4 linked regions of the Macaca fascicularis genome follow. The protein of the gene in region 1 interacts with the protein of each later gene in a pairwise test. Links are inferred from orthologs where the notes say so. Each region holds a gene or a part of one and is shown on either strand. Other genes may lie near its edges.

The links.
Region 2: the proteins of SSC5D (region 1) and SEC23IP interact in binary tests that used the Homo sapiens proteins (3 or more experiments, as listed by UniProt). The two-hybrid records come from large-scale screens. The link is inferred for Macaca fascicularis from reciprocal best matches to the Homo sapiens genes SSC5D and SEC23IP.
Region 3: the proteins of SSC5D (region 1) and NUP62 interact in binary tests that used the Homo sapiens proteins (3 or more experiments, as listed by UniProt). The two-hybrid records come from large-scale screens. The link is inferred for Macaca fascicularis from reciprocal best matches to the Homo sapiens genes SSC5D and NUP62.
Region 4: the proteins of SSC5D (region 1) and EXOC7 interact in binary tests that used the Homo sapiens proteins (3 or more experiments, as listed by UniProt). The two-hybrid records come from large-scale screens. The link is inferred for Macaca fascicularis from reciprocal best matches to the Homo sapiens genes SSC5D and EXOC7.

Annotation. Positions count from the first base shown.
Region 1 is NC_088393.1:63,445,044-63,452,337, forward strand, and holds part of SSC5D (soluble scavenger receptor cysteine-rich domain-containing protein SSC5D), read left to right. Parts: intron 1-2,142; coding exon 2,143-2,460; intron 2,461-4,063; coding exon 4,064-4,660; intron 4,661-4,737; coding exon 4,738-5,052; intron 5,053-5,282; coding exon 5,283-5,450; intron 5,451-7,294.
Region 2 is NC_088383.1:128,909,125-128,917,149, forward strand, and holds the start of SEC23IP (SEC23-interacting protein), read left to right. Parts: upstream 1-3,521; 5' UTR 3,522-3,601; coding exon 3,602-3,764; intron 3,765-8,025. UniProt on the Homo sapiens protein: Plays a role in the organization of endoplasmic reticulum exit sites. Specifically binds to phosphatidylinositol 3-phosphate (PI(3)P), phosphatidylinositol 4-phosphate (PI(4)P) and phosphatidylinositol 5-phosphate (PI(5)P).
Region 3 is NC_088393.1:57,891,134-57,897,981, reverse strand, and holds part of NUP62 (nuclear pore glycoprotein p62), read left to right. Parts: intron 1-4,200; 5' UTR 4,201-4,277; coding exon 4,278-5,843; 3' UTR 5,844-6,848. UniProt on the Homo sapiens protein: Essential component of the nuclear pore complex. The N-terminal is probably involved in nucleocytoplasmic transport.
Region 4 is NC_088390.1:82,518,964-82,526,257, reverse strand, and holds part of EXOC7 (exocyst complex component 7), read left to right. Parts: intron 1-191; coding exon 192-359; intron 360-3,581; coding exon 3,582-3,674; intron 3,675-4,405; coding exon 4,406-4,474; intron 4,475-5,479; coding exon 5,480-5,625; intron 5,626-5,874; coding exon 5,875-6,027; intron 6,028-6,234; coding exon 6,235-6,333; intron 6,334-6,679; coding exon 6,680-6,742; intron 6,743-7,075; coding exon 7,076-7,142; intron 7,143-7,294. UniProt on the Homo sapiens protein: Component of the exocyst complex involved in the docking of exocytic vesicles with fusion sites on the plasma membrane.

The sequences.
Region 1 (7,294 bases):
TATATTTATTTAGAGACAGGGTCTCACTTGGTTGCCCAGGCTGGAGTGCGGTGGTATAGTCACAGCTCCCTGCAGCCTCAAACGCCTGGGCTCAAGTGATCCTCCCACCTCCGCCTCCTGGGTAACTAAGACTACAGCTGCATGCCACCGTGCCCAGCTAAGTTTTTTTTTTCTGTAGAGACAGGTCCTCACTATTGTCCAGGTTGGTCTCAAATTCCTGGCCTCAAGTGATCCTCCTGTCTTGGCCTCCCGAAGTGCTGGGATTAGAGGCGTGAGCCACCATGCCCGGCCAGGTGCAGGGGTCTTTCTTGTGTTTTTTGCAGGAAGGAATAGGTGAGACAGGGCAAGCAGGCTTAGAATTGGCTGTTTTGAAGAATTTCGGTGGGGGGTGGGGGTGGCTCAGAAGCGTTGTCCTCAGTCGGCTGGTACCTGGCCCTGCAGCAGTGAGGACAGGTGCAGAGTGGCCCAGGGTGTGAGAGCCCCGTGGAGAGGGTGGTTTGCACACAGAAGGCATGCTCAAGCCGTTTACCATCTCTAGGAATTAGCTAACCCTGGGAGGGGCAGTCCCTCAGGATCAGGAATGCTCCAAGATGTCAAAGCATCAGAAATACAGAAAATAAGAAGGCGTGGTTAACACAGCTGTCTCCTCAAGACGGGAAAAGGCCGAACAAAAGCAGCAACTTGTTTTCACCATGGTCACCATTCCCAGAGGCCTCTTTCCCCTTTTCCTGAATAATAATGTCAGCTAACACTGATCGAGCATGCGCTGGCTCCTGGTCACTGATGCTGTTCCCAGTTCTCTCCATGTCTCAGTCCAGGTGACGCTCGCAGCCACTGCGGTGTGGGCATTGACAGGTCTTCATGTTACAGATGAGGCAGCGCAGCTGAGAAATGGGAGAGCCAGGATTCAAGCAAAAACGCTTGTTCCAGGGCTCACATTCTTTTAAAAAAATTGTGATAAAACATACATGACATAAAATTTACCATTTTTACCAGCCTTTTTTTTAAAAAAAAAAAAAAAAAAACAGGGTCTCACTCTGTCACCAAGGCTGGAGTGTAGTGGTTGCTCACTGCAACCTCTGCCTCCCAGGTTCAAGTGATTCTCCTGCCTCAGCCTCCTGAGTAGCTGGGATTACAGGCGTGAGCCACCGCGCCTGGCCCATGCCTGGCTAATTTTTGTATTTTTAGTAGAGACAGAGTTTCTCCACGTTGGCCAGGCTGGTCTCGACCTCCTGATCTCAGGTGATCTGCCTGCCTCAGCCTCCCACAGTTGCTGGAATTACAGGCGTGAGCCACCGTGCCTGGCCTGCTGCTTCCTGTCTTTTAAAGGACTTCCTCTGAGAAGGCTTCTCCAGCTTCCCCAGGCAGAATTTTTCTCACCTTCTCCTCGTTGTGTGTCTGCCTTGCCTTTTTGGTACTTCCACTACTCCCTTTAGCTCGCTGAGTTGCAATGAAGTGTGTGCATACTACCTTTTCTAAAGACCGAGAGTTTTTCAAAGCAGAGGCTGTGCCTGACTCATAAACAACAACAAAACACCTTATTATCCCTGGTGGTCTAGTGGTTAGGAAAATAAAATCTAAAAAAGAAGAAAAAAAAACCCTTATTAAACCAATAATAATGAGAGAAAATTAAGGGTGGTGAACAATTGCAGGGAAAAAGACTTTTATTTTAATTGAGGTGAAATTCATGTAATATAAAGTTAACCAGTTTAAGTATACAACTCAAGTGGTATTTATACATTCAAAATGTTGTACAACCACTACTATTTGGCTACTGTGAATGGTGCTGCTATGAACATTCACATACCGGTGTCTGTCTGAATACCTGTTTTCAGTTTATTTTGGGTATATCCCTACTATAGACTTTCTAGATTATATGGTAATTCGATGTGTAGCTTTTTGAAGATCCTCCAAACTCTGCCTGGCTCATCATCCCTCGTGCCTAATGCAGAAAATGGCACAAAAAAGGCTTCATTAAATATTTGCTGCCTGGAGGAAAGGATGGTTGAATGGAGGGGAGGCCTAGATGGATGAACGGATGGATGCATGGAAAGGAAGATGGAGGGAGGGAAAGGTAGATGAAGAGTCAGGAGGCTGGGTGGCTTCCCTGACTCTTAATTCTTTGGGTCTCTTCTACCCCAGGGTCCCCCCAGCTGCGCCTGGTGGCTGGGCCCAGCAAGTGCTCAGGTCGACTGGAGGTGTGGCATGACCAGCGCTGGGGGACCGTGTGTGACGATAGCTGGGACATGCGGGACTCAGTCGTGGTCTGCCGGGAGCTGGGCTGTGGTGGACCTCGGCAGCCAGACCCTGCTGCTGGCCGCTTTGGCTGGGGTGCGGGTCCCATCTGGCTAGATGATGTGGCCTGTGTGGGGACCGAGGCTTCGCTGTCCGACTGCCCTGCTGCTCCCTGGGGAAAGCACAACTGTGCCCACAATGAGGATGTTGGGGTCACCTGCACTGGTAAGGAGGCCCTAGCTATCTGTTGACTCCAGGAGGGCTTCCTGGAGGGGGAACAGTAACTAACATGGGCACTAACATTGAGCGCTTCCTAAGCCCCAGCCCTGTGCTGGGTGTTTTTGCACATATGACCACATTGAAATCACATAATAAGTCTAGGGTGGTATGTGTTATGCCCATTTTACTGATAAATAAGCTGAGGCACAGAGAGGTTAGGTAACTTGCTCAAGATCACACAGCAACAACTGACTGGTAGACCTGGGATTCCCACTCAGAGAAGCTGCTGCTTCCTTTTCCTTCCAGGAATCAAGGAAATCTCCCACTAAGAAGGAAGCTTTAGCTTTCCTAAGATGAAAGGAAGCAGGCAGGGCACTGGGAGATGGAGAGAAGCCAAAGCGAGAGCCAGTTAACATAAACTCAGGCAATGCCTGCTATTACATGGCAGAGGCTGAGCTAGGCGCAGGGTCCTCATGCTGGGCTCATGAATGGAATGAACATGGTCTTGGTCTTTGAATAGCTCACAGCTCATGGGGAGAAAGAACTACTCTAACAAATCATTGCAAACCTGTGTGACTCGTTATAGTTTGGGGTCACCAAGACCACTCTCAGAGTCGATAATTTGCTAGAAGATCTCATAGAACCAAAGAATCTGTTACACTCAGGGTTATCGTTTATCACAGTGAAAGGATACAGATTAAAATCAGCCAAGGGAAGAGGCGCCTGAGGCAGGGCTCAGGAGAGAGCAGGTGTGAGCTTCCAACTGTCCTGTCCCAGTGGAGCTGTGCAGACAGCACTTCATTACCCCAGCAACAAAGTGGGACAACACACATGAGGAACCGCCAACTAGGGAAGTTCCCCCGAGCCGTGGCGTCCAGAGTGTTCATGGGGGCTCGGCCACGTACATGTGGCTGATCATAAATCACACCGTTAGCACAGGTGATCCAGCATGGCCCAAGTCCCCCAGGGAAACAATCTCTTATCAGGCAAGGTGTTCCAAAGGCTTCGAAGCCATCTCCCAGGAGCCGGGGAAAGGGCTAAACCTTTCTTTGGGCAAGGTTAATCCTTTACTGCACACGTGTGCTAATCAGAAGGATGGAAGATGGAGAGTGGTGCCTCAAAGGATGGAGGTATCACCTCTGCTGGAAGCTATGGCTCTTCCCTCTGTCCCCCTCTTCCTGAGGGCCATGGGGGCACCACAGAAGGATTCTGAGTTCAGGAGTGGCCTGTCGGACCTGGGTACCCCTCTGGTGGTAAGAACTGACAGGAGGTAGGGAAACCCATCAGAAGGTCCAGGAAATGAGGCCCTGACTCAGAGCAGAAGCTGAGGAGATGGAGGGGGGGTCAGGTGTGAAGGGGTGAGGGAGTCAGTCATGTCCAGATTGTACATGCCAAGAAGGCAGGGGGCGGCGTCAGGTTTGGCTTACCACAGGCTCCCCAAGGGTCTAACATAGTGTGTGGCTCATAGGAGGTGCTTGATTTGTGACAATAAATGAATGAATGATGAATGAATGGGAACTGGGTAAGTCACTGGAGAGGAGGGGTCTGGGTAGATGATCTTATCATCATGGTGTTTCTGTCTTCTCTTCCTGCCCCACACACCTTCCAGGGCCCCCAGGCCTGGACTCCATCTCAGACCCCTTCAGCTGGAGCTGGATTCCTGGACTGGGGAGAGATCGGGATGCCTGGCTCCCGGGAGAGCTGGCCACCAAGCCCTCTGCAAGTGTGACTGCCAGTGTTCTGGAGAAAACAACCACGAAGGCCCCAGGGAAAATGCCTAAGAGTACTAAGAAGTGGGTGACAAAATATGCAAAGAGACCAACCACTCAACCTCCACTGACGCCAACCACAAAGCACTCCAGGGCCCAAAGCCCCCCAGACCTAACCTCACAGACCACTACAGCCCTGACCACTGAGGCTTCCCGAAGACCCACTGCTGAGTTTACCAGAAGGCCGACCACGGAGGACCCCCGGAGATGGACCTCTCACACCACTGCCACGCTGACCCCTCAGGCACCCCGAGAACGGACCACTAAGACCACGGCAATGCTGACCACTCAAGGCCCCCAAGAAATGACCTCTGAGGCCACTATCAAGAGAATCCCTCAGGCCTCCCTGGAGCCATCTGCTGAGATACCAGAAGGGTCTCCAGAGTCACCCAAAGACCCGGCCCCCTCTCCCAGTGCTAGCACCACCGGGGAATCAGGTGAGTGGCCATGAGGGGTGTGGGGAGAGAATGGGAGAGGCTGACCCTCCCTCCTAACCTCAGGGCCTTCCACGCAGGCCTGTTCCGGGTTCGTCTGGCCGATGGGCCCAACCGCTGTGCCGGCCGGCTGGAAGTGTGGCATGCCGGACGCTGGGGAACAGTGTGTGATGACAACTGGGACCTGCGGGACGCCACTGTGGCCTGCTGGGAACTGGGCTGTGGAAAGGTCCGGCCTCGAGTAGGCAAAACCCATTACGGCCCTGGGACTGGGCCCATCTGGCTGGATGACATGGGCTGCAAGGGAAGCGAGGCCTCACTGAGCGACTGCCCCTCGGGGGCATGGGGGAAGCACAACTGTGACCACGAGGAAGATGTGGGGCTCACCTGCACTGGTACCAGGGCATGGCGGCGGTGGAGGGGGTTACGGGGGGTGGTCAGGAGAATGGAGTCAAGGTGGGGCCAGGTGACCGCACCATGGTAGACTCTAAAGAACTGGGCTTGAGGGGTTGGGGTGGAGAGATCCCAGAGTTGCTCCAGAAGATTCCAAAAGGGGAGGGAGGAGCAGCAACAAGGACCTCTGAGAAAGAGGATGGGGTCAACCATTGCCCCAATTTCTCCAAAGGCTACACAGACTATGATGATTATCCCCCCTGGACCTGGGACCCCACCTCAACAGAGGACCTGGCCAAGGGGACCACCACGGCACGGGTACCCGGACACACTCTCCCCTGGGGCACCACCAGGCGCACGGGGATCTCCTCTCCAGCAACAAGGCGCCTGCCAGACACAGGTGAGGGGCGTGATTGGGGTGGCCATGGGGGGCCTCCATAAACCTCCATTTGCTTCCCTGCAGGGTTTCCAGAAAGACCCTTCTCAGTGAGCTCGCTGAGGTCTCAGGGCACCCCAGAAAGGTTTTCCTCAGCTCCTGAGACTCTAAACGCATTATCTCCTTGGGCTCAATGGTGACACTTCTCGAGAGCCGAGGACACCATCTAAGAGATCAGGCTAAGCTCAGCAATCCTGAGTCCATGGCCCTCCTGTAAACCACACGAGAGCCTGGGCCCCTCAGTCAAACCCACAACCAAGGGCCACTCTGTCATCACATAATCGTCCCCACCCCAGCTCCCCCAAAGCAAGCGAAACCTTACCCATTCTTGAAGCTCATGCTCTGGTCCAGGTCTGGTATGGCTCAGACAGAGGTGGGGACTCTTAGAGTGCTGCTTCTCTCCCTACCCTGGCCATCCCCTCCCTCCGGCCTGCAGAATCAGCCTCCAGGGACACAGCTCCGTCCCCCTCTGCTCTGTGGCCTCTGTCTTGCTGTTGCAACTCCTTCCACACCTGGGACCACATTTGGGACCTTGCCCTGCTTTGGCCCCCACATTGCTGCCACCACATTGTTCTGCATTTTTCTTTGCCTGTCTTCCTTGTATCCCCATCTCTCCGGGTCCCTCTGAATCCATCTCTGCTCCTGTTTCTCACTTGCTATTGGTCTCTTTTCTTTCATTATCCATTTCTCACCCTCGTCATCTCTATCTCTGTGTTGCCCAGGATGGAGTGCAGTGGTGTGATCTCGGCTCACTGCAGTCTTGACTGCCCGGGCCCAAGCGATCCTCCTGCCTCAGCCTCCTGAGAATTTGGGACTACAGATGCGCGCCACCACACCCGGCTCATTTTTATTTTTCGTAGAGACAGGCTCACTATGTTGCCCAGGCTGGTCTCAAACTCCTGAGCTCAGACAATCCTCCTGTCTCGCTCTTCCAAAGTGCTGGGCTTATAGGCGTGAACCACCATGCCTGGCCTCACTCCATTTTCCATGGTCAATTTCTCTATCTTTTCTTCTCTATGCCAGTTTCTTTTTTCCTTTCATTTTCAATTTCTCACGCTCATCTTTATGCCGTATTTTTTTTTCCATGGTCATTTCTCTTGCTCTATCACCATCTTTCTCATTTTTTTCTTTCGTTGTCAGTTTCATATTCCCGTCATTTCTTTTTCCCTATGTCTTTCTTTTTCAATTTCTCACCCTCATTACCTATTTCTCACTCCAGTTTTCGTGGTCAGTTTCTCTTTATTTTTTTCTGCCTTGTCCTTCTGTCTTTTTCTTTCATTATCAGTCTCACACTCTCATCATTTCTGTTTCTCGCCTAGTTTTTCCTGGTCAATTTATGTCTTTCCCCGTCAGCCTTTCTCTTTTCTTTCAGATCTCACCTTTACCACCTCTGTTTCTCCCTCCATTTTTCATGGTAAATTTCTCTTTTTTTGAGACAGGGTCTTGCTCTGTTGCCCAGGCTGAAGTGCAATGGTGTGATCTTAGCTCACTGCAGCCTTGAACTCCCAGGCTCAGGTGATCCTCCCACCTCAGTGTCCTGAATAGCTGGGATTACAGATGCACACCACCATGCCTGGCTAATTTTTTTTTTTTTTTTTGAGATGGAGTCTTGCTCTGTTGCTCAGGCTGGAGTGCAGTGGCGTGGTCTCAGGTGACTGCAACCTCCGCCTCCCGGGTTCAAGCGATTCTCCTGCCTCAGCCTCCTGAGTAGCTGGGATTACAGGCACGTGCCACCATGCCCAGCTAATTTTTTGTATTTTTAGTAGAGATGGGTTTCACCATGTTGGCCAGACTGGTCTCAAACTCCT
Region 2 (8,025 bases), on another chromosome or scaffold:
AGCAGGTTTCCTAACAGGGACCTAATATTAATTACCATACAAAGGTCCGACCAGAGCTAGGGGGAACTCCCTTCAGGATAGGACTGATAGATGGTTCCTCCCCAGTGATTAAGGAAGAAAGACATAATGAGTATTCAGTAAATGATAAGGAAACTCTTGAATAAGCAGAGTTAGGAAAATTGCCTAATAATTGGTCTGTTGAAATGTGCTTGAGCTGTCTGCACTCAGCCAAACCTTAAAGTACTCACAGAATCAGGAAGGAGCCATCTATACCAATTCTAAGTTAATATGGACTGAAGGGGTCTTATTAATGCAAAGAACAATTGAAATCCCAAACCTACAAGGTTTTCAACAAAAGTAAAGTTTGCTAAAAGTTAACAGTGTAACATGTATTATCCTACTACCACACACTCTCAAAGGATTTCTCAGACAGTTTGCAAGAAATAACAAAATCTATCCTTATTCTACAATCCCTAATAGACTCTTTGGCAGCAGTGACTCTCCAAAACTGCCAAGGCCTAGACCTCCTCACTGATGACAAAGGAGGACTTTGCACCTTCTTAGGGGAACAGTGTTGTTTTTACACTAACCAGTCAGGTATAGTATGAGATGCTACTTGGCGTTTACAGAAAAAGGCTTCTGAAATCAGACAATGCCTTTCAAATGCTTATATCAACCTCTGGAGTTGAGCGATATGGCTTCTCCCCTTTCTAGTTCCCATGACAGCCATCTTGCAATTACTCTCCTTCGGGCCCTGTATTTTTAACCTCCTTGTCAAAGTTGTTTCCTCTAAGATCAAGGCCATCAAGCTACAGATGGTCTTACAAATGGAACCCCAAATGAGCTCAACTAACAACTTCTACTGAGGACCCCTGGACCAACCCGCTGGCCCTTTGACTGGCCTAAAGAGTTCCCCTCTGGAGGACACTGCAACTGTAGGGCTCCTTCTTCACCCCTATCTAGCAGGAAGTAGCTATACCGGTCATCGCCCAATTCCCAACAGCAGTTGGGGTGTCCTGTTTAGAGGCGGGATTGAGAGGTGAAGCCAGCTGGACTTCCTGGGTTGAGTGGGGACTTGAAGAACTTGTCTGTCTAGCTAGAGAACTGTAAACGCACCAATCAGCGCTCTGTGTCTAGCTAGAGGATTGTAAATGCACCAATCAGCACTCTGTAAAAATGTGCCAATCAGTGCTCTGTGTCTAGCTAGAGGACTGTAAATGCACCAATCAGCACTCTGCAAAAATGCACCAATCAGTGCTCTGTGTCTAGCTAGAGGATTGTAAATGCATCAATCAGCACTCTGTAAAAATGCACCAATCAGCACTCTGTGCCTAGCTAAAGGACTGTAAATGCACCAATCAGCACTCTGTAAAATGGACCAATCAGCAGGATGTAGGGGGGGGACACAAATAAGGGAATAAAAGCTGGCCACCCCCCCAGCGAGCAGAGGCAACCTGGGTCCCCTTCCATGCTGTGGAAGCTTTGTTCTTTCACTCTTCACAATAAATCTTGCTGCTGCTCATTCTTTGGGTCTATGCCCCCTCTAAGAGCTGTAACACTCACTGCGAAGGTCCGAGGCTTCATTCTTGAAGTTAGCGAGACCAAGAACCCACTGGAAGGAACCAATTCCAGACACATGACCACCAAGAACTGTCTTCTCAAGGACCTGGGGGTTTGTCTCTTCAACTGCAAACATTCAAGGAGGTGCTTCTCATTCTCATTCCCAGTCCCTATGGCTACCTTGCTCTCTTACACCACTGCTTGTCATGAAAACAGAATAATTATGTGTCTCCTCTGGATAAGCATGGATTAACACACCCAGGTGGCCTAGTCGCAGGACCAACCACCTCTTCACACTCCTCAGTGCCTTTCCCTTAGCACACCACAGCCTCTAAAAAGTCTCCAATCTTTTGTTTCAGCAAAGTTGTGTTCAGTTCATGCTGGACCCACTTCCCTACTGCAATAGTTTTCATTAAATAAAATCTAATTTACAGCTTTAATGAGTGTCCCACTTAAAAATTTTTTTTTGACAGTAAGCACATGAAATCATTATTGAATTAATAAATTTAGGTTCTACATAGGTGTAAACAGCTGGGGAGAGTTTCATTATTTTGAGTGTTCTTTTGGGATCTCCTCTCCCAACCTCCAAGAAGCTGAAAGATTGCTTAAGTTATATTTTCTTTCAAAATCTCTAACTATGAAAGATGACAATTATGTCCAAGTTATCCACAGTACCTTCTGGATTGAACTAGTCATACTGTGGATATAGAAAGCTATCTAAAATGTCAGAGCTCTAATTTCAATGTCCTGGTTTCTTTTCTTTCTTTTTTTAACGAGACAGGGTCTCGCCTTGTTGCCTGGGCTGGAGCACAGTGAGTGGCAAGATCAGGGTTAATTTAGCCTCAAGCAATCTTCCCACATCAGCCTCCTGAGTAGCTGAGACTATAGGTGCCATGCCACCACGCCCGGCTAATTTTTGCATTTTTATTAGAGACTGGGTTTCGCCATGTTGGCCAGGCCGGTCTCAACCTCCTGGGCTCAAGCTGTCCTCCCGCTCTGCCTCACAAAGTGCTGGGATTGCAGGCCTGCGCCACGGCGTCCGGTTTGATTTCTCTTTTAAATATGTGTTTTTGGCCGGGCGCAGTGGCTCATGCCTGTAATCCCAGCACTTTGTGAGGCTGAGGCGGGCGGATCACAAGGTCAGGAGATTGAGACCATCCTGGCCAACACGGTGAAACCCCATCTTTACTAAAAATACAAAAAATTAGCCAGGCGTGGTGGCAGGCGCCTGTAGTCCCAGCTACCCGGGAGGATGAGGCAGGAGAATCACTTGAACCTGGGAGGCAGAGGTTGCAGTGACCCGAGATTGCGCCACTGCACTCCAGCCTGGGTGACAGAGCGAGCCTCCTCTCAAAACAAAAAACAAAACAAAACAACCAAAAAAAAAAAAAAAACAAAAAACAAACGAAAAACACAAAACAACAACAAAAATAAATCAAAGATTTTTTTTCTCCCTATGTATTAAACACTTAAAAACATTTTACCATTTCTATTTCTGGGTCAATGCCAAAGTTCAGTTCAGTCCAGAAAGACAAGTGGTTTTGGAAAGGGTGTTTGGTTCCGCCTTGCATGCGAATTCCCACACAACCCTCTTCCTCCTTTCCTCCTTCGGGCAGCGTCCAGCAGGATTCCGCTGTTCCTCCAAAATCTTTGTCAGGAGAGTCATCCTGACAGTACTTTTAGGAAGCCCATAGATATCAGCCACAACCTGTGACTTTCAGGGTCAATTGCGTGTCAATTCGCACGTCCATCCAGAACCTGCGGGGACCACGCCCCCACGCTCCCTCCCGGCCTTTGCCTCAGCCCCTCTCCGCCTCCAAGGGTGTCACGTGCCAGACTCGGGCGGGAAGACATTGCCGCCATGTTGATTTCTGGCGGCGCTGGCTGGGGGAAGGGAGAGGGTGGCTGACTAACTAGCTACCCGTAGTTCCGGCTCCTGTGCGCAAGTGCGGAAGTGCGCTGGCCGGGAGAGTGATCGGTTTCCGGTCAGTGGTGAGGTACTGAGTACCCGGAGACGTGTATCGGAAGGTGGGCCGCAGCCATGGCGGAGAGAAAACCTAACGGTGGCAGCGGCGGCGTCTCCACCTCCTCGTCGGGCACTAACTTACTTTTCTCCTCCTCGGCCACGGAGTTCAGCTTCAATGTGCCCTTCATTCCAGTCACCCAGGCCTCAGCTTCCCCGGCCTCCTTGCTCTTGCCCGGAGGTAATAAGGGGAGGGCGGTCCCGTGTGTGGTGGGAGGCGGGCGGGGGACGTGCTGTGACAAGGGTCAGACGGAAAATATTCCTTTTGCCTCCAGCTACCCTCTCGATAGCTTGCCAGGATCATTAGTGACCAGGTTTGAGTGGGTCGGGGGCTTTGGGATCTTGGAGGCGGCAGGTGATGCGACTTGCTCTTCATTGCAGAAACCCACTGTTCCGAGTTGTCCAGAGTGCTGGACATTCATTCGTACACTGGCATTCCACAAATCTTTGCTGAACACCCATTGTTGTTACGCCAGGTGCTGGCAGGGAATGCAAGTAAACAGTGGCCCTCTCCTAGGGTACAGTAGTCTATCTCCCACTAGGAGACTCCTAGGATACGGTAAGATACCTCCTAGGATGGACTGTGCCCCTCTCCTGGGATACGGTACACTGTCTCCTACTAGGAGATTGTTGTGATACAGTAGGATATCTTCTAGATTACAGTAAGATATCTTGTAAGATGGACTGTGCCCCTCTTCTAGGAGAAACATGTAATATTTGTGAAGTAGACATATAAAATGCATTCCTCATCTTTTTTTTTTTTTTTGAGTCGGAGTCTTGCTTTGTCGCCCAGGGTGGAATCCAGTGGCGCGATCTCGGCTCACTGCAACCTCCACATTTCGAGTTCAAGTGATTCTCCTGCCTCAGCCTCCCGAGTAGCTGGGACTACAGGCGTGCATGCCCTGCTAATTTTTGTATTTATAGTAGAGACGGGGTTTCACCATGTTGGCCAGGATGGTCTCAATCTCCGGACCTCAAGTGATCCGCCTGCCTCGGCCTCCCAAAGTGCTGGGATTACAGGTGTGAGCGCCTGGCCAATTTTCGTCTTTCAAGACAATCCATCACTTCTTCCAAGAAACTTTTTCTTGTTCTCTTAGGCCCCCACTCCTATGTGCACTCCTAGCTCTTTTTTTCATATTTGTATTATTGTCCAGGGAGATTGCTTTTTGATGATGATGTAGCATAGCCCAGAGCATGGTGTTCAGGAGCACAGACTGTATTCCAGTCCTTGCCCTGCCAGTAGCTTGCTGTGTAACTGTAGGCATTTTAGTTTACTTCTCTGTGCTTCAGTTTCTATATATGTATAGCCTCACATAATTATAATTAGAAATGCTTTAATTTTTGAAAAGCACCAAGTATACTGCCTGCCAGACAGTGTGATTTAATGTTTGTGAAATAAACACACCTGCTTCTCCATTTGGACTGCGGTCTTCTTCAGCAGCTATGACCTAATTGCCTTTTTATTTCCAGGATGTTGTTTAGGGCCTAGTAAGTAGATCCTCTTCGAATACTGAGTTTGCAGTGAGTAATTTATTCTTGTTTGAAGGACTAAAGACAGTTTCATGGAGAAGCGAGGACAGGCACGCTGGGAACAGCTGTACATAAAGGTTCCCCTGCCCATGTGTTAATGTTTCTTCTTGATGCTGGTCACTACCTGACATGTACACATACTTGTTTATTCCACTCCACTAGGATGTAAGACCATGAAAGCAAAAACTTAGTTTTATTCACGATTATATTCCCACTGCGTAGAATGATGTGTGGTATGTAGTAGACCAGTTATTCAGTGGATGTTTGTTGAATGAGTGAAAGGATGGGAGTCAAAATGATGTCTCAATTTGACCTGTGGTTGAAAGGTTAGGCGTTGCTGTCTTTGGTGAAGAACCAGCATTTTGGAGCAGAATGCTGTGAGAGGATGCAGGAATAAATAAGGCTTTACCTGGGGTTTTCTAATCATCCTCTGCACCATTCAAGTTGTTTGGTTATGTCCATCTTCCTTGCTGTGTAGTATTTGGTTTGTGTGTCACTGTGAATTCATGCTAAACATTTTCATTGTGAAGTCTAGTATAGCTATACCTGTCTTTAATGCTCTTGTTTCTTGGAGACAGTCTGTGTGTGTGTGTGAACATTAATAGTTTTTAGAACTAAAATTCATCTCTAAAAATCTCAGAAACCCATTCAGAGAATTTCCAGAGAAAAAGAAGAAACAGTCTCCTTGGAAGCAATAGTTAATCATATAAGTGAAAGAGACACAGGAAGCAATTTCATATATTCAACAGACATGGAAGGCCTGGCACAGTGGCTCACGCCTGTAATCCCAGCACTTTGGGAGGCTGAGGTGGGTGGATCACCTGAGGTCAGGAGTTCAAGACCAGCCTGGTCAACATGGCAAAACCCCATCTCAACTAAAAATACAAAAATTAATTGGATGTGGTGGTGGGCGCCTATAATCCCAGCTACTCGGGAGGCTGAGGCATGAGAATCGCTTGAGGTGGATGTTGCAGTGAGCTGAGGTCATGCCGCTGCACTCCACCCTGAGCGACAGAGTAAGACTCCATCTCAAAAACAAAACAAAAACAAAAACCAGACATGGATTGAGCAGTTTCTATTTGCCAGGCACTGTTCCAGAAGCTGGGAGACACAGAAGAGCAGACAGCCCTGCCCTCAGTGACTGCACAGTATATATGTATACACACACTCACCTGTGTAAGCAACTGTGATACTGGTTTAGAACAGTTAGAAAGAGGGATTGATAGATGGCTGTGAATGCTGTGGGTCTCAGGCTGGCTGAGCTGGGGAATGGATGTCCCTTAGGCCTTCAGGTCCTCTTAGGGGAGGTGATGCTTGAGCTGAGTGTTGAAGGATACATAGAAGTGAGGGAATCTGGAGAGACAGGAATATGGGAAGTCTGAAGGTGTGAGAAAATCTGCAGGTTTGGCAGGAGTTAGTGGTTGGTGGAATGGGACAGGGATGGAGCTCATCCCTCTCTCCTGTCTCTTCACCTTTATCTCCTCTCCCGTGTATCCTCTGCCCCCAGTAGATCACTTTGACTAGAGTGTGGACAATGGAGTGGCCTCGGTGGTCTATGGGTCACATATACCATACTCAGGAGGAGTTTGTAGTTCATCTTGTTGGGTTTTGGGAGCCTTTGAAGGATTTTCAACAAGGCAGTGAAATTAGACGTGTGTTTCAGAAAGACTGGAGTTTTCTCTAGTTGCACTGGAATAAGGTTGACTGTAGCAAGAGGATTCGGCTGGGAGGCATAGTGAGAGGCTGGCAGTGGCGATGGCAGTCTAGCCCGAGTCAGCCACATTGGGTGTGAGGAGCAGGGAGCAGATGTGTGAGATGTGTAGACTACACACTTGTAGAGACTCACGGAAGACCAGAGCGTCAGCTCTGTCTGTCAGCACAGAGGCCCATTTTTGTTTAGTTTTAGACCCAAGACTGAGCTCTGTACCTGGCACATAATGCATCCTGAGTAAATATTTCTTGAATAAATATTTGAATGATTAAATGAAGGGTATGAGAGAGAGGGAGGAGTCTGAGAGACTTGAGGTTTCTGGTTTGAATGTCTGAATGGATGTTGGCAAACATCGGTGGATATAGTGAAATACAGAAAAGGGAGCACGGAGGTGGGTAGTTAAGATAATAAACTCTGTTTGGGGCTTACTAAGCATGAGGTATATGTGGCTGAATCTGCCAAAAACATTGAGGAAGTAGTTGGAAAACAAGTTCTGGAACACATGACAACGGTCTGGGTTTGCGATAGAGTTGGGAGTGTCACCAATATACAAGTGCCTATTAAAGTTGTGGCTTTAGATGACATGTGTCCAAATGAAATGAGAAAGTGCCCCTGAGGTGAGGGCAGCAGTATGTGGAGAGCATTTCATTTGTAGTTGATGCTGATCGGAAAAAAGTTTCTTGGATCAGGTTGACCTCAAGTTTTTTTAAAGGATGAAAGATACCACTGAGGTTTTCTTTTTTTTTTTCTTGCTTGCTTTTAATTGTTGGGAATGAATTAAGAAATACAGGTAAGTCCAAGTGAGGGTCACTGACCTGAAAAGAGGGGTGGGAGCTGGAAATATATCAGAGAAGTAGAATGATACAGACTGACACAGGGCCTCGTGCAGCAAGGGATATTTTATTTTTAGTTACAAAGAAAATATCAAGAGGAGTATTTTGAATAGTGGAGTATTTTAGTTAAACTGATGTGTGTGAATTATGAGAGCTCAAGAAGCTCAAGCCGTAGTCTCAGCAGAGGTCAAGAAGCTTAGAGCCCAGAGCTTGGAAGAAGGCTGCCTTTTGGCAGGTCTCCAAGGGCAGGGACCAGAGTGTGCCTGTGTGCTGTGAGTGAGTCCAGCCCTCTGATGGATTCCATGCCTCCAGCAAGGAGGTAAGAGGGAATGAGGCAGGGGCAGGGAAGATTAGAAGGAAGAAGATGA
Region 3 (6,848 bases), about 5.6 Mb from region 1:
GATGGACTAAGACTCACAGAGCTCGGCAAAGCTTCTACTCACAGTCACGGTCACGGCTCAGTGATGGACTAAGACTCACAGAGCTCGGCAAAGCTTTCTACTCACAGTCACGGTCACGGTTTATTATGGAGAAATGAAACAGACCGAAAACAGCAAAGGGGAGAGATGCAGAAGCTCCGAGAGAGACCAGGCACGAGCTTCCAGCTCTCCTCTCCAGGTAGAGAGTTCCGTGGACAGCGCTCAGTTCTCCCAGCAACAGTGTGCGGTAACACTTACGGAGTGTTGGCGGCCCGGGTTGTGGGGAGGAGCAGTTCTGTAGGCATGGAGCACTTGTGTGGCTAAACTGAGGTCTGCTTTCTCCAGCCCCTCCAGAGGTTGTGCTGATACCGTATGACCCAAAGCCCCCACTGTAGGTCACAGCGTTAACATGGACTCCCTAGAGTGGCCCGAGGCTCCAGGTAAACAAAGACGCTCTTACCTGGCAGGACATTTCAAGAACATAGAGATTCTCCCAGAGCTGGTCAAGGGCCATTTTCTCTCTTTGGAATGTACAGATTTGAACAGCTCATGCTTGGCAAATCAGTCCTTCACACATAAACATCTCCCTTCCAAAGCACCAAATCACTTAGCACCCAGAGGCATGTCTGCTGTTTCAGCCTCCCTGTCTTCCCGTAGGCCTTTCCTCCTGCCTGGACAGCTCCTCTCCCCTCCCGATCCTTTCCCTGGCTGATGCTACATCTGCAACACTCAGCTCCTCCCTGGAACCTGCTCCCACAGCATGTAACCCAGCCCTGATCCCTGATTATAGAGCTGACATTTGACTCTGGCTGCCTCGAGGGCAGGGGCCATGGCTTAGCTAACCACTCTGGGCTTCACTTTCTCATTTGTAAAATGGATCTGCCCCGGCCGGGCGCGGTGGCTCAAGCCTGTAATCCCAGCACTTTGGGAGGCCGAGACGGGCGGATCACGACGCCAGGAGATCGAGACCATCCTGGCTAACACGGTGAAACCCCGTCTCTACTAAAAAAATACAAAAAACTAGCCGGGCGAAGTGGCGGGCGCCTGTAGTCCCAGCTACTTGGGAGGCTGAGGCAGGAGAATGGTGTGAACCCGGGAGGCGGAGCTTGCAGTGAGCTGAGATCCGGCCACTGCACTCCAGCCTGGGCGACAGAGCATGACTCCGTCTCAAAAAAAAAAAAAAAAAAAAAAAAAAAGGATCTGCCCCAAAGTTTGCTTTTAGGAAAGGGTGAGTAATGATATATCTAACTTTTTTTTTTTTTTTTTCAGATGGGGTCTTACTATTTTGCCCAGGCTGGAGTGCAGTGGCACAATCACTGCAGCCTCCACCTCCCTGGGCTCCAGTGATCCTCCCATCTCAGCCAACTCATTTTTGTATTTTTTTGTAGAGACAGGATCTCGCTATATTGGCCAGGCTGTTCTTGAGTTCCTGAGCTCAAGCAATCCTCCCACCTCAGCCTCCCAAAGTGCTGGGATTACAGGCGTCAGCCACTGCACCTGGCCATATTACATCTAAACTGCATGGATCAGAGCTGGATTTGTATGGGTTCACCATTGTGACTAGATCCCTGGCACCTGAAGTATTAGAAACCAACGAGGCACTTAATAAATGGTGAACTGTTGGCTGGGCGTGGTGGCTTACGCCTATAATCCCAGCACTTTGGGGGGCTGAGGCAGGTGGATCACCTGAGGCTGGGAGTTTGAGACCAGCCTGACCAACATGCAGAAACCCCGTCTCTATTAAAAATACAAAATTAGCTAGGTGTGGTGGCATGTGCCTGTAATCCCAGCTACTCAGAGGCTGAGGCAGGAGAATTGCTTGAACCCAGGAAGCGGAGGTTGCAGTGAGCCAAGATCGTGCCATTCCACTCCAGCCTGGGCAACGGAGCGAGACTCCCATCTCAAAAAAAAAAAGGTGAACCGTTAAGCCAGACAAGTCCCCACAGAAGATTGTTTTCCTTGTAGTTTTTTCATAGTTGTAAAGAGCTTTTTATAAATGCTCTTCTTGGAAATTTTAGCTATAACTTATTAATAGCAAAAGCTTTTTTAAGCTGAGTTTTTGAGAACTGAGATGTGTAGGTGTAGCTGCTCCAATGCCTTTAGCTGCCAGTAACAACACACCGACTTGAGGTGGCTCAGCAGTGAGGACTTTTGTTCTGTCCCACAACGGGAGGAATGGATGCAGGCCGGGCTGGGCCCCAACAGTCCTGGGGGCTCAGGCACTTGCTGTGGCCTGTTGAAGAAGCCTTTCTCAGAATCCCCCAGGAGAGCTTTATGAAAATGCCAGGGCCAGCATCCTAGCCCTGGAGAGACTGGCTTCATGGAGCTGGCAGCCTTCGGTGTTTTAAATGCTCCAGTCAGTGCTGATGGGCGCCCATTGAGATCTGCTGGCTGGGACAAGGCAGAGCGCATGCAGCTGGCCCTGGGGTCATCTCCCCAGACTTGCTTGGCTGTGTGGAGGAGGAGGAGCAGATGAAACAAAAATTAGGGGCCTGTGGAAGGCAGAAGGGTGCAGTGGAAGGGGTGGGGGTAGTGAGGTAGGTTTCCTCTTCCTCAAGCTAGAAGGGGATTTCCTGAGGACAGACACCAAGCAATTTAAAAACTGGCCTGGAGAGAGGGAAGAGGAAACAGACGTCGTGGGTGTTTCTCTGGGCCAGGCACTTGGCTTCTCAGTCATGACTTTGTTCGTTCTGTTTGTTTGTTTGTTTTTTAGACAGGGCCTCCCTCTTTCCATTTCCGGCTTTTAGAGCTGCTTCTGCCTTCCCTGGCTCCTGGCTTTCTCCCGTCTTCAGGTTCCAAAGCGCATCACTCCAGTCTGCTCTTGCCACCACAAGCTTTCTTCCCTCTCCAGTCAGTCAAACCGATCTTCTAAGGATGCTTCTGATCATCTGGAGGGCTCTCACCTATAGTCCTAGCACTTTGGGAGGACAAAGAGGGAGGATCGCTTGAGCCCAGGAGTTCAAGACCAGGGCAACAGAGTGAAATCCCGTTCCTACAAAAAATAAAAAAGATTAGCCGGGCATGGTGGCATGTACCTGTAGTCCCAGCTACTTTGGGAGGCTGAGGTGGAAGGATCGCTTGGGCCCCGGAGCTTGAGGCTGCAGTGAGTTGTGATATGTCACTGCATTCCAGCTGGTATGACAGAGCAAAACCCTTTCCCAAAAGAAAAAAAACACCCCTATCCAGCACTTCCTCTCACCCTTTCCTCACCATCCCGCTGATAGATGGCACCACTTGGAGATTTTTCGGTTAGACGTTACCAACATCAAGTCAGTTTGGACTGAAGGGAAATGTTTGGCCCATGGGGCTTCTCGGGGGCTCTTTATCTGTTCCCCACCCCATCCATCTCTGGTGGGGCTCATGGTCTCCGGTGATGTCCCAGTGTCTGCAGGTGGTTGAGAAGGTGTCCAAGGGTGGCCCAGGTGCAATCCCCTGCACCACACTTAGAGGCGAAGGAGGCAGCTGCCTTCTGAGCATGGAGAAAATCCCAGGGGAGGCTCTGATTGCCTGGCTCGGGTCTCAGTTTATCCTCGAGCCAGTCACTGTGGCCAGGGGCATCTGTGCTCTGAGCACATGGGTTTCAGACCCTCCCCTGAGTTAGGAGGGGCACGTCCTCTCCTGCTCTTAGAGAGTACAGGTGTGGGCCTGGGGGACCTTCAGCAGCCCGTATCCTGCCATCCAGCCTGGGTTCCCTGCCCCATCTCTCTCTCTCACGTCCAGAGAGGCCCTCAGGGTGGCAAGAGCTGATCCGCTCACACCCCGCTAGAGTCAGCCAGGGAACCTTACTGGGTCCCACGCTGGGAGCAGGTCCTACAGCTGTTCTTCTGTGTCCTAGTCCCGCTTGTGGCAGTGCCTCAAATCTGATCTCCTCGGGCTGAAGTGGGTCCAAGGTCCTGTTCTCCCGCCTCATCCTCCAGAGTGGGAACTTTCCACTGTGCTGAATGTGGCCATGCACGTCCCTAGCACCCCGACTCCTCGTACCTGACCCCTGGAGCGTGCATTTGTGCTTCTGGATCCTTCTCGATGTAGCAGAGTCTGGTTTAGGTTACACAGGACGAAGGGGGGTTGCTGCATGGTATCATAATCCCATCCCACCACCCTCCAAACCAGCCGTGCCCAGTCATGCCACTGGGCTTGCCTTTCCAAAACTGCCATCTGACAGTGTCACTTCCTTTGCTTTAGAAATATTCCCGAGGTCGCAGACGCCAGCGGATTTGCTTTGGGAGCCAGAGTAGCTGCCGCCACCAGAGTCCGGAGCCATGAGCGGGTTTAATTTTGGAGGCACTGGGGCCCCTACAGGTGGGTTCACATTTGGCACTGCAAAGACAGCGACAACCACACCTGCCACAGGGTTTTCTTTCTCCACCTCTGGCACTGGAGGGTTTAATTTTGGGGCTCCCTCCCAACCAACCACAAGTACCCCTTCCACCGGCCTGTTCTCACTCGCCACTCAGACTCCGGCCACACAGACAACAGGCTTCACTTTTGGAACAGCAACTCTTGCCTCGGGGGGAACTGGATTTTCTTTAGGGATCGGTGCTTCAAAGCTCAACTTGAGCAACACAGCTGCCACCCCAGCCATGGCAAACCCCAGTGGCTTTGGGCTGGGCAGCAGCAACCTCACTAATGCCATATCGAGCACTGTCACCTCCAGCCAGGGCACAGCACCCACTGGCTTTGTGTTTGGCCCCTCCACCACCTCTGTGGCTCCAGCCACCACATCTGGAGGCTTCTCATTCACTGGTGGAAGCATGGCCCAGCCCTCCGGTTTCAACATTGGCTCAGCGGGGAATTCAGCCCAGCCCACCGCACCTGCCACTCTGCCCTTTACTCCGGCCACGCCAGCAGCCACCACAGCAGGCGTCACGCAGCCAGCTGCTCCCACAGCCACAGCCACCACCACCGGTACTGGGCCCACCCTCTTTGCATCAATAGCAACCGCTCCAACCTCGTCTGCCACCACCGGACTCTCCCTCTGTACCCCTGCGACCACCGCGGGAGCCCCCGCTGCCGGGACACAGGGCTTCAGCTTAAAGGCACCTGGAGCAGCTTCGGGCGCCTCCACAGCAACATCCACCACTGCCACCGCCGCGGCCACCAGCAGCAGCAGCAGCACCACCGGCTTTGCCTTGAATTTAAAACCACTGGCGCCAGCTGGGATCCCCAGCAATACGGCAGCCGCTGTGACTGCTCCACCTGGCCCTGGTGCAGCTGCAGGGGCGGCCGCCAGCTCCGCCATGACCTACGCGCAGCTGGAGAGCCTGATCAACAAATGGAGCCTGGAGCTAGAGGACCAGGAGCGGCACTTCCTCCAGCAGGCCACCCAGGTCAACGCCTGGGACCGCACGCTGATCGAGAACGGGGAGAAGATCACCAGCCTGCACCGCGAGGTGGAGAAGGTGAAGCTGGACCAGAAGAGGCTGGACCAGGAGCTCGACTTCATCCTGTCCCAGCAGAAGGAGCTGGAAGACCTGCTGAGCCCGCTGGAGGAGTTGGTAAAGGAGCAGAGCGGAACCATCTACCTGCAGCACGCGGATGAGGAGCGCGAGAAAACCTACAAGCTGGCCGAGAACATCGACGCGCAGCTCAAGCGCATGGCTCAGGACCTCAAGGACATCATCGAGCACCTGAATACGTCCGGGGCCCCCGCCGACACCAGCGACCCGCTGCAGCAGATCTGCAAGATCCTCAACGCGCACATGGGCTCGCTGCAGTGGATCGACCAGAACTCGGCCCTGCTGCAGAGGAAGGTGGAGGAGGTGACCAAGGTGTGCGAGGGCCGGCGCAAGGAGCAGGAGCGCAGCTTCCGCATCACCTTCGACTGAGCGACAGCAGGGCCCTGGGAGTTCCATGCGGGGAACGCGCCCTGTTGTCTAGTTTGGGGTTGTGGCAAGATACATGTTTCTTTCTTTCACGTGACTGCCTTTGAGACAATTGCTGTGTGCTTTGCCTTTTTCCATGTAGGAAGTATTCTGAGCCCTCTGCCCAGGCAGCAGCCTCATGGGTGTGGCTTCTGTGGCTTTTATTTGAGTGTCTTTGGCCCCTTTCCAGCCACTGCGACCGCCCACCTCATCCTGGCTCGACCTGGTGATGGAGACGCAGTGGTGGTCTTGGTCCCAGCCAGGGTCGCGGGGACAGCTGCTCTCTCCAAAGCGTAGTCATAGGTGTCATGAAAAAATACCAAATGTAAGAGAACCTCCAAAGCCTGCAGGGCGCAGTGGCTCACGCCTGTAATCTCAGCAATTTGGGTGGCTGAGGCAGGCCGATCACTTGAGGTCAGGAGTTCAAGACCAGCCTGACCAACATGGTGAAACCCGTGTCTACTAAAAATACAAAAATTAGCCAGGTGTGGTGGGTGCCTGTGATCTCAGCTACTCGGGAGGCTGAGGCAGGAGAATCACTTGAACCTGGGAGGTGTTGCAGTGAGCCAGGATCACACCACTGCACTCCAGCCTGGCAACAGAGACTGTCTCAAAAAAAAAAAAAAAAAGCGTCCCAGGAGACAGCAGCCTAAGTTTTGGAGTAGGAGGTGTGTGCCTGTGAAAGCTAACCACCAAGACAAAGCAGCACAGTGTGAATAGAACAAACAGTGGGATCGAGAATTGCACAGAAGACAGGTCAGCTGAGGGGCCTACACACAGAGGCCTGCCTTTTGCCTGGCCCAGGCTTACCCCCACCTCTGGGCCTCACCTCCTCCAGGAAGCCTTCCCAGCTACCCAAAGCTCAGGTGGCCTTCTTGCAGGTCCCCGTAGCACCCTGAGCCTGTACCTTGGGTAACACTTGCTATGCTGTCCTGTGCTAGCCGTTTGCGTCCGTCTCGCGGTTAGATT
Region 4 (7,294 bases), on another chromosome or scaffold:
GGACAACAGAGCAAGACCCTGTCTCAAAAAAAAAAAAAAAAATACTTTGCCTGATTTGGGACAAGATATGGGTGGCTTGCGACCCAGAGCAGACAGCAGATGCTAAGAAGGGTTGACAGGTAGACATGGTGGGTCTGCAAGGCAGAGGCAGGGCCTGGCAGCCATACCTCTATCGCTCTGTATCTCCTCAGATTTCATGAACGTCTACTACCAGATACGCTCCAGCCAGCTGGACCGCTCCATCAAGGGCCTGAAGGAGCATTTCCATAAGAGCAGTTCTTCCTCTGGGGTTCCCTACTCCCCTGCTATCCCCAACAAGAGGAAAGACACACCTACCAAGAAGCCAGTCAAGCGGCCAGGTGAGCCCCTATGCTGGCCCATCTCTGCAACAGCCAGAGGCTGACTGGAGCTGCACTGCTTTCATCCAATCTAGCGTTCGCAGCGTCAGACCCCTCTAGAGCTTGTCGTTATGGTAACCCTGACTGTAGGTACACAGGACAGAAAGCAAGTGTCTACCCAGCCAGTGAGGCCCCCGCAGAGCAAGACCCTTCTACCCAGCAGAGCCTGGGGGTGACACAGCTTCTTTGGAGTGAGGGAGTAACACAGGTGCTCAGTTAATCCTGCCTGAGGCAGGCGGCAGAGGCTTCTAGGGCCGAGCCCCTGCCTAGGCCTCGTGCCTCACACACACATCACCCTGTCAGGAGACCAGGCACACTGCTGCATCCAGGACGCTGGGATAGCGAGGGGATAGGTGCTCCAACCTTCACCTTCCAGAAAGGCAAGGTGACCTGAAGTGATGTGTAGCTGAGAGCTGGATGGGGAGAATTTCACTTTCCCAGTCGATCCAAAAAGGAAAGAAACCCCAGAGCATCTTCTCAGAAGAACTTAAACTGGCTTTGGGCTCCAGTGCGAGTCAGTGCCTTGTGGAAAGAGGCACCGTGATGAGAGGCCTGGGCCGGTGGGTGTCGCTGTGCTGGGTGAACATCTCGTCATCTGTCTGTTCTTTCTCCCTGGCATCATGTCCCTAGTAGTCTGTGCTCCAGGTAAACAGTGTCTCTGCCAGCCACAGCTTGGCAAGCCCGGCTGTCTCTGGCCACTGACAGATGCCCGCAACTCGATGACATGCTGGGATGTTCTGGGGTGGGGCTGCTGAGATTGCTCTGGAAGAGAAAGCTGGAGAAGCCAGGGCTGCTCCCACCCAGGCTGGCCCCCTGTCCAACTGCTGCTGCAGGCACATGCCCTAGGTGTGGCCTGTGGGACCTGCTTATGACAACAGGCTTTAGGTAGAGCTTACTTACACCCTTGGTTTCTCCAGTCCCTACCTGCCCATGCCTCTCAGAGACCGAGGTGTCTGTTCCACAAGAGCACCCGCTCCTCTCCAGGCCTTTGTTTAGGGTTTAGAGAAACAGGCAGAGTAGGGGCTGCCCTCAGGGAGTAGAGCATTAGGGAGCTGGTGCCTGGGGCCTTCTCCCTCCAGTGTGGATGTCCTGCCCACCCAGCCAAAACCTGCAAATGGGGACTGCCAGCCCAGCCTGTGGGCGCAGCTGCCTGCACAGCGGATGGAGCAGCTCTGTACCTTCTGTGTGGTGGGGAGTGGCTGTCTCTGTGAGGCTTCGAGGATGCTTTAGCCCCAGCCACTCTGTGCTCACTTCCTCTTCTACCTGGTTCCCTGACAGGCCCCCTGGAAGCCCCAGAGCCCTATTTGCACTGCCCTAAGAGTGCCCGCTGGCCATGCAGCCCCCTGGCCTTTCAGGCAGGAGGGATCTGATCTCAGGTAGCTCACAGTGGACCACATCCGTCCTTGGCCCAGGGACACAAGAGGAAAGCTCTCCGGCTGTGGGGTTTCCGAGCTGTCAGGCACTGGTGGGCTCAGGACCGATGTCAAGCTCTAGGGAGTCAGGCTCCGTTGACGTCGGTTCCCACTTCTGAGGAGAGGGGCAGGGAGGCCTCCCAGGTGGTGAAGCACTGACCTCAGCATCCCTGGAGGTAATTGGGCGCCTGACGGGTTTGGCGGCTGCCAGATCTGCATCCCTGACCCACGTCCTGCCGGCGTGCACCTGCGTCCGCAGCTGCTCCGGCTGCTCCTGGTGGGTCGTGGGGCGGGAATCCAATTCACTCATTAGTGAGCCTCGCTCGCTGAAGGGGAGAACACGAGCAAGGCAGATGTGAGCCAGGCCGCGGAACTTGGTTATTAGGAGCTAATTATGGGCCGAGTATGGTGGCTCACGCCTGTAATCCCAACACTTCGGGAGGCCGAGGCGGGCGGATCACCTGAGGTCAGGAGTTCAAGACCAGCCTGGCCAACACGGTGAAACCCCGTCTCCACTAAAAATAGAAAAAAAATTAGCTGGGTATGGTTGCACATGCCTATAATCGCAACTACTCAGGAGGCTGAGGCAGGAGAATTGCTTGAAACCAGGAGGCGGAGGTTGCAGTGAGCCGAGATTGTGCCATTGCACTCCAGCCTGGGCGACCCAGCAAGACTCTGTCTCAAAAAAAAAAAAAAACAAAAACAAAAACAAAAAAGCTAATTGTGATGTCATGCGGTGCGGCGCAGTGCAGTGCAGGTGTAAGCAATGAGCCTCCAGACACTGCCCTTTCTGCCTCAGCTTTCTGGGGAGCTGCCAGGACACAGCAGCCTCACTGTGCTCAGATAGACAGTAGGAGGGTGGAGGGCATCCCGGGTGCCTTCTTGCCCCCATACATTTTGTTAACAAGGCAGCTGCACTTGTCTACTTGAGATGCGGGTTTATTTCCCCACGTTTTCTGGCCCAAGATGTCTCATTCCCATAAAGGAGGCGGACTCAGGTGGCTGTGGGCGCTACCATTTTGTTCTCATTGTTTCCACTTGTGATACTAACTGTTGTTTTTTTCCCCATGCCAAGAGCATGTGCCCTCTCCTTCTGCGCACACCCTCCAGGCTCTCTGTGTGGTGACTTCTGTTAACCCCTTCTTGACTTTTGGATTTTTTCTTGTCCCTTTGGTTGTTTGGGGAACTCTAACGTGTGGGGCTAGGCTGCCTCTGGGTCTCTGAGCCGTCCGCCTTGGGCACCGCGCTCCCCGGAAGTTCAGTCAGGGTGGCTTCCTGCTGGCTGCTGTTTGGCGTACGTCCCAACACTGAACGTGCTCGGAGAGCTCTGCCTGGAGTTTGGGGCTGGGCTGGGGGCCTGCTGGCTTCAGGGTACCCCCAAGCTCTGCCACCCTGGTTGTGCCCTCTCGGTGTGCAAGCTTTGTCACTGGCTCCTCCAACCTGAGCCCTCGCCTGTTCTGACTACAATGCCACTCGTATTTTTGACTTCTCCTGGTGGATCTTGTTCCATCTTCATTATCCTCTGTCCTTTCAGAAATGAACTGAAATCCAGAACAAGGAGGGTCAGTAGTAGAATCAAGGCTCCATTTGGAGAAGGAAATGATTCTTTTCCTTCGCCTTTGTCCCCAGGGTCTCTGGTGGTCCCAGGGAAGGGCCTGCTCACTGTGGGGGGCTGGGTGTGGGGCCTGGGGGCAGGTGGAGGGCCGCTGCTGTTTTCTCTCACTCATTTCCTAGGTCTTCTTATCTCCTCTCTGTGTGGCTCTGGTGACAGGGACGATCCGTAAGGCTCAGAACCTTCTGAAACAGTATTCCCAGCATGGTCTAGATGGGAAAAAGGGGGGCTCTAACCTCATTCCTCTGGAAGGTAATCACCCTGTGTTCCCCTCCTGTCCCTTCCTCCTCCACTGTGTGTCCACGCACTTGGCAGGGCAGAGCCTCCCCCAGGAGGGCCTCGGGAGAAACCCTGAGGGGAGCAGGGTGGGAACGGCAGGTCCCCAATGCCACTTGGGCTTCAGCAGGCGCAGGGACAGTTTCGCGGCCCTCGGCCTGGTCCTCTCTGGCTGATGGCAGCTCTGCCCTCCCTGGGGCTCCCTCCTCCCTCCCCTGTCTCTGTCCTTGTCTCCTGTGTGAACTCAGAGAAAGCTCTTTGTCTGGGGCAGCCTTTCACGCTCAGACCTGCAGTGGCAGCCCCAGCTGGCCGAGGCCTCCCCTCTTCAGAAAGGGGAGTGTGTGCAGCAGGCGACAGGCAAACTGGGGCTTTGCGCAAATACGGCAAGGTGGGGAACCCCCCTGGGGTCAAGCATCAGCTCTTCAGCCCCTCCTTGGTCCTTCTCCGCTTTCCCTGGGCCTCCAGACTTGGGGAAATGAGCAGCTAAGGACGGTCCTGGGTGCTCACTGAAGTCAGGCTTGAAATGGCTGTTCCCAAGGTGGCTTGAGGTAGAGGAGGGGCTCAGAGCCCTCTCTGATGCCCCCTTCCCCATCCCCATCTGACATCCCCCTCCTGGAGATGAAGGGCTTCTCCCTATACCCCAAGGGGCGGCCTGCCGGGCCCCTGGATAAACACTGCTTGTGTTTATGCGGCCAACATCTCGCCAGGTCACGAGCATGATTTCCGAGTTAAGCACCTGTCCGAGGCCTTGAACGACAAGCACGGGCCACTGGCCGGTGAGTACTGCAGCCCAGCCCGAGGGCAGCTGCTGACACTGCCTTCGCAGCGGTCCCCGGATGGCCTGCTCCTGTCTGGCCCAGCCAGGCCCAGTCTGCTCTGAGGATGGGCCAGGCCTATGCGCCTCTCTCTCCACTCTCTTTTGGGCCTAGGTCTCCTTGCCTCTCTCCAGATGGGAGTGCGTGCCTGGCTCTCAGGCCTGGGCCAAGGGGAGAAGCCGCTGCTACTCAGAAAGCAGGCAGAGAGGGAAGGTGGCTCCCTTGAGGGCAGGGAGCCCTGACGTCCGCCTCCTGCAACAACTCAGAGCTCTGATCCCCTCGGAGCCCATCCCTTGGCACATAGGACCAGGCAGTTCTGCCACTGGTTTTGTCCACAGGCGCCCCCGCTGTGGCCTCCAGTAATAGGATCTGGCCTCCTCCTGGGGCAGCTGGCAACCCCTCCTCTCTGGGACTTACCAGCCTCTTCTCAGATTTTGACCCTATGCCAGCCAGCCTCAGAGGCTGCAGCCTACCGCCCTCTTAGATGTTCCAGAAGCCCTGGCTGGGCTGGTCACTTCCTTCGCAGGCCCCACATTTGCCCACATGGATGACCCCAGTGCCAGCCTCCTTGAGGTGGCACAGCCACCTGCCCACCCTGGGCTGCCCTCTTTCAGGTACAACTCAGAATCCTCAGTCCTGGGGTCAAACTACCTTATCCAGGATGTTGATTCAGTGATCTTCCCTCCTTATCCTTCCGTCCATCACCCTCCTGCCTCTGGTGTCTGATCCCACTGTCTGCGCAGAGCTGAGAATGAAGCCAGAACAAAGGCTGGGCTCAGCTCCTATTGTTCCCCTCGAACCTGGCGGGGCCTGCTGGTGCCCTTGCAGCTTTCTGCCAGAACAGTCAGCCTCTTCCCCATCCGCTGCCGGTCTGGGGTGCAGTCCAGGAGCTGGGGGACCCACACCTCCCCAGCCAGAAGTGTGGCTGGCCCCAGACCAGCAACTCAAGAGTTGTGTCTTCCCCAGGGAGAGATGACATGCTGGACGTGGAGACCGATGCCTACATTCACTGCGTCAGTGCCTTCGTCAAGCTGGCGCAGAGCGAGTACCAGCTGCTGGCAGACATCATCCCCGAGCACCACCAGAAGAAGACCTTCGACTCCCTGATACAGGTCCCGTGCCGCCCTGGGGCTCTGCAGCCAGCCCCAGCGAGAGCTGTCACCACAGACTCTTGCAGCCCTCAACTCCAGCCACCACCACCGCCTTGTGCCCTGTGGGCTGGTCCTGGGTGGACGCTCACCACCTCCCCATCGCCCCACTTCCTGCACACTGGCCCCCTACACCCTACAAGGATCCCCCACCAGCCCGGAGCCAGGTCCCACCACCCCACCCTTCCCTGAACTGTCTCCCTGTCCCCTCAGGATGCCCTGGATGGGCTGATGCTTGAAGGGGAGAACATTGTGTCCGCTGCCCGGAAGGCCATTGTGCGACACGACTTCTCCACGGTGCTCACCGTCTTCCCCATCCTGCGGCACCTCAAGCAGACCAAGCCTGAGTTTGACCAGGTGCTCCAGGTATGTGGACGAGGGGCCCTCGAAAACAGCCAGTAGGCATCCTGCTGCCTGGTGTGGCCGCCCTCATCCCTCCCTGGGAGATCCGCATTCTCCGTCCCACACCTCTGCTCTGAGGATGCATGGAGACAGCTTAGGAAGGGCCCTGGGCGAATGAGCTGCTCACTGAGTGACTGGAGGAGAGCTTGGAACTCCCTTGTGCTTCCTCAGGGCACGGCCGCCAGCACCAAGAATAAGCTGCCTGGCCTCATCACCTCCATGGAGACCATTGGTGCCAAAGCGCTGGAGGACTTCGCGGACAACATCAAGGTCCCTGCCGTCCTCCCCTTTCTCCCTCCCTCCCATCCCAGCACCCACAGTGACCTGGCCCTGGGGGACTCTCAGAGAGCAGGCCTCCAAGAGGGTGCGTTGTCCCAGGGGAAGCCAACTGCGCCGCTGGCCTGTCAGCACCCATGTGCCTTCCTTTCCTTCCTGGGGCCTCCAAGCCCTCTGAGGTGGGAAGGGCCTCTCCCCCTTGGTCCAGCCTGGCTCAGCCTTTGTGCCTGAGAGGTGTCCTAGCACCCGTCTGCAAGGAGGCGGCACCGTGAGCAGGTGCACGGGGGGCGTGGGGTGGGCCGGGGGCTGCTTCAGGGAACCAGAGGCTGTTTTTCCACAGAATGATCCGGACAAGGAGTACAACATGCCAAAGGACGGCACCGTGCACGAGCTCACCAGCAATGTGGGTGCTGCCTGAGGACACCGGGAAGGGGGGAGGAAGGAGGACCCAGGCTCAGGGCCGGGCAGAGTACTGTTGGAAGGGACCCAGTCTGGCCCAGAGCTGCTCGCACCTTTGTGAGCGGTCCTGGGTGGCAGGATGGACAGTGACATGCTTAGTGTCTCTAGCAGACAGGGCCCTTCCTGGTAGACTAGAGTGAAAATGAAGTTTCCAGCCGCGCTCTTCACTGGGCGGATCCCAGCCCTGGGCTGGCCGTGGGCACTCAGAGGGGTCGCTGCGGGAGGCCGTCAGCCGGGCCTGCCACTTGCCCTTCTGCACCGTCTTCTTCCCACCCAGGCCATCCTCTTCTTGCAGCAGCTTTTGGACTTCCAGGAGACGGCAGGTGCCATGCTGGCCTCCCAAGGTACTGGCACTTCCCAGCTGGGCCCCCTGCCCCACTCCCCTTCTTGCCTGGAGACATGGGGTTAGAGGGCAGGGAGCAGTGAGGAGGCGTCTCCAGTCTGTGGAGGGGTTGAGATGTGCCCTGCAGAGGGTCCCTGGGGCTGAGCATCAGGA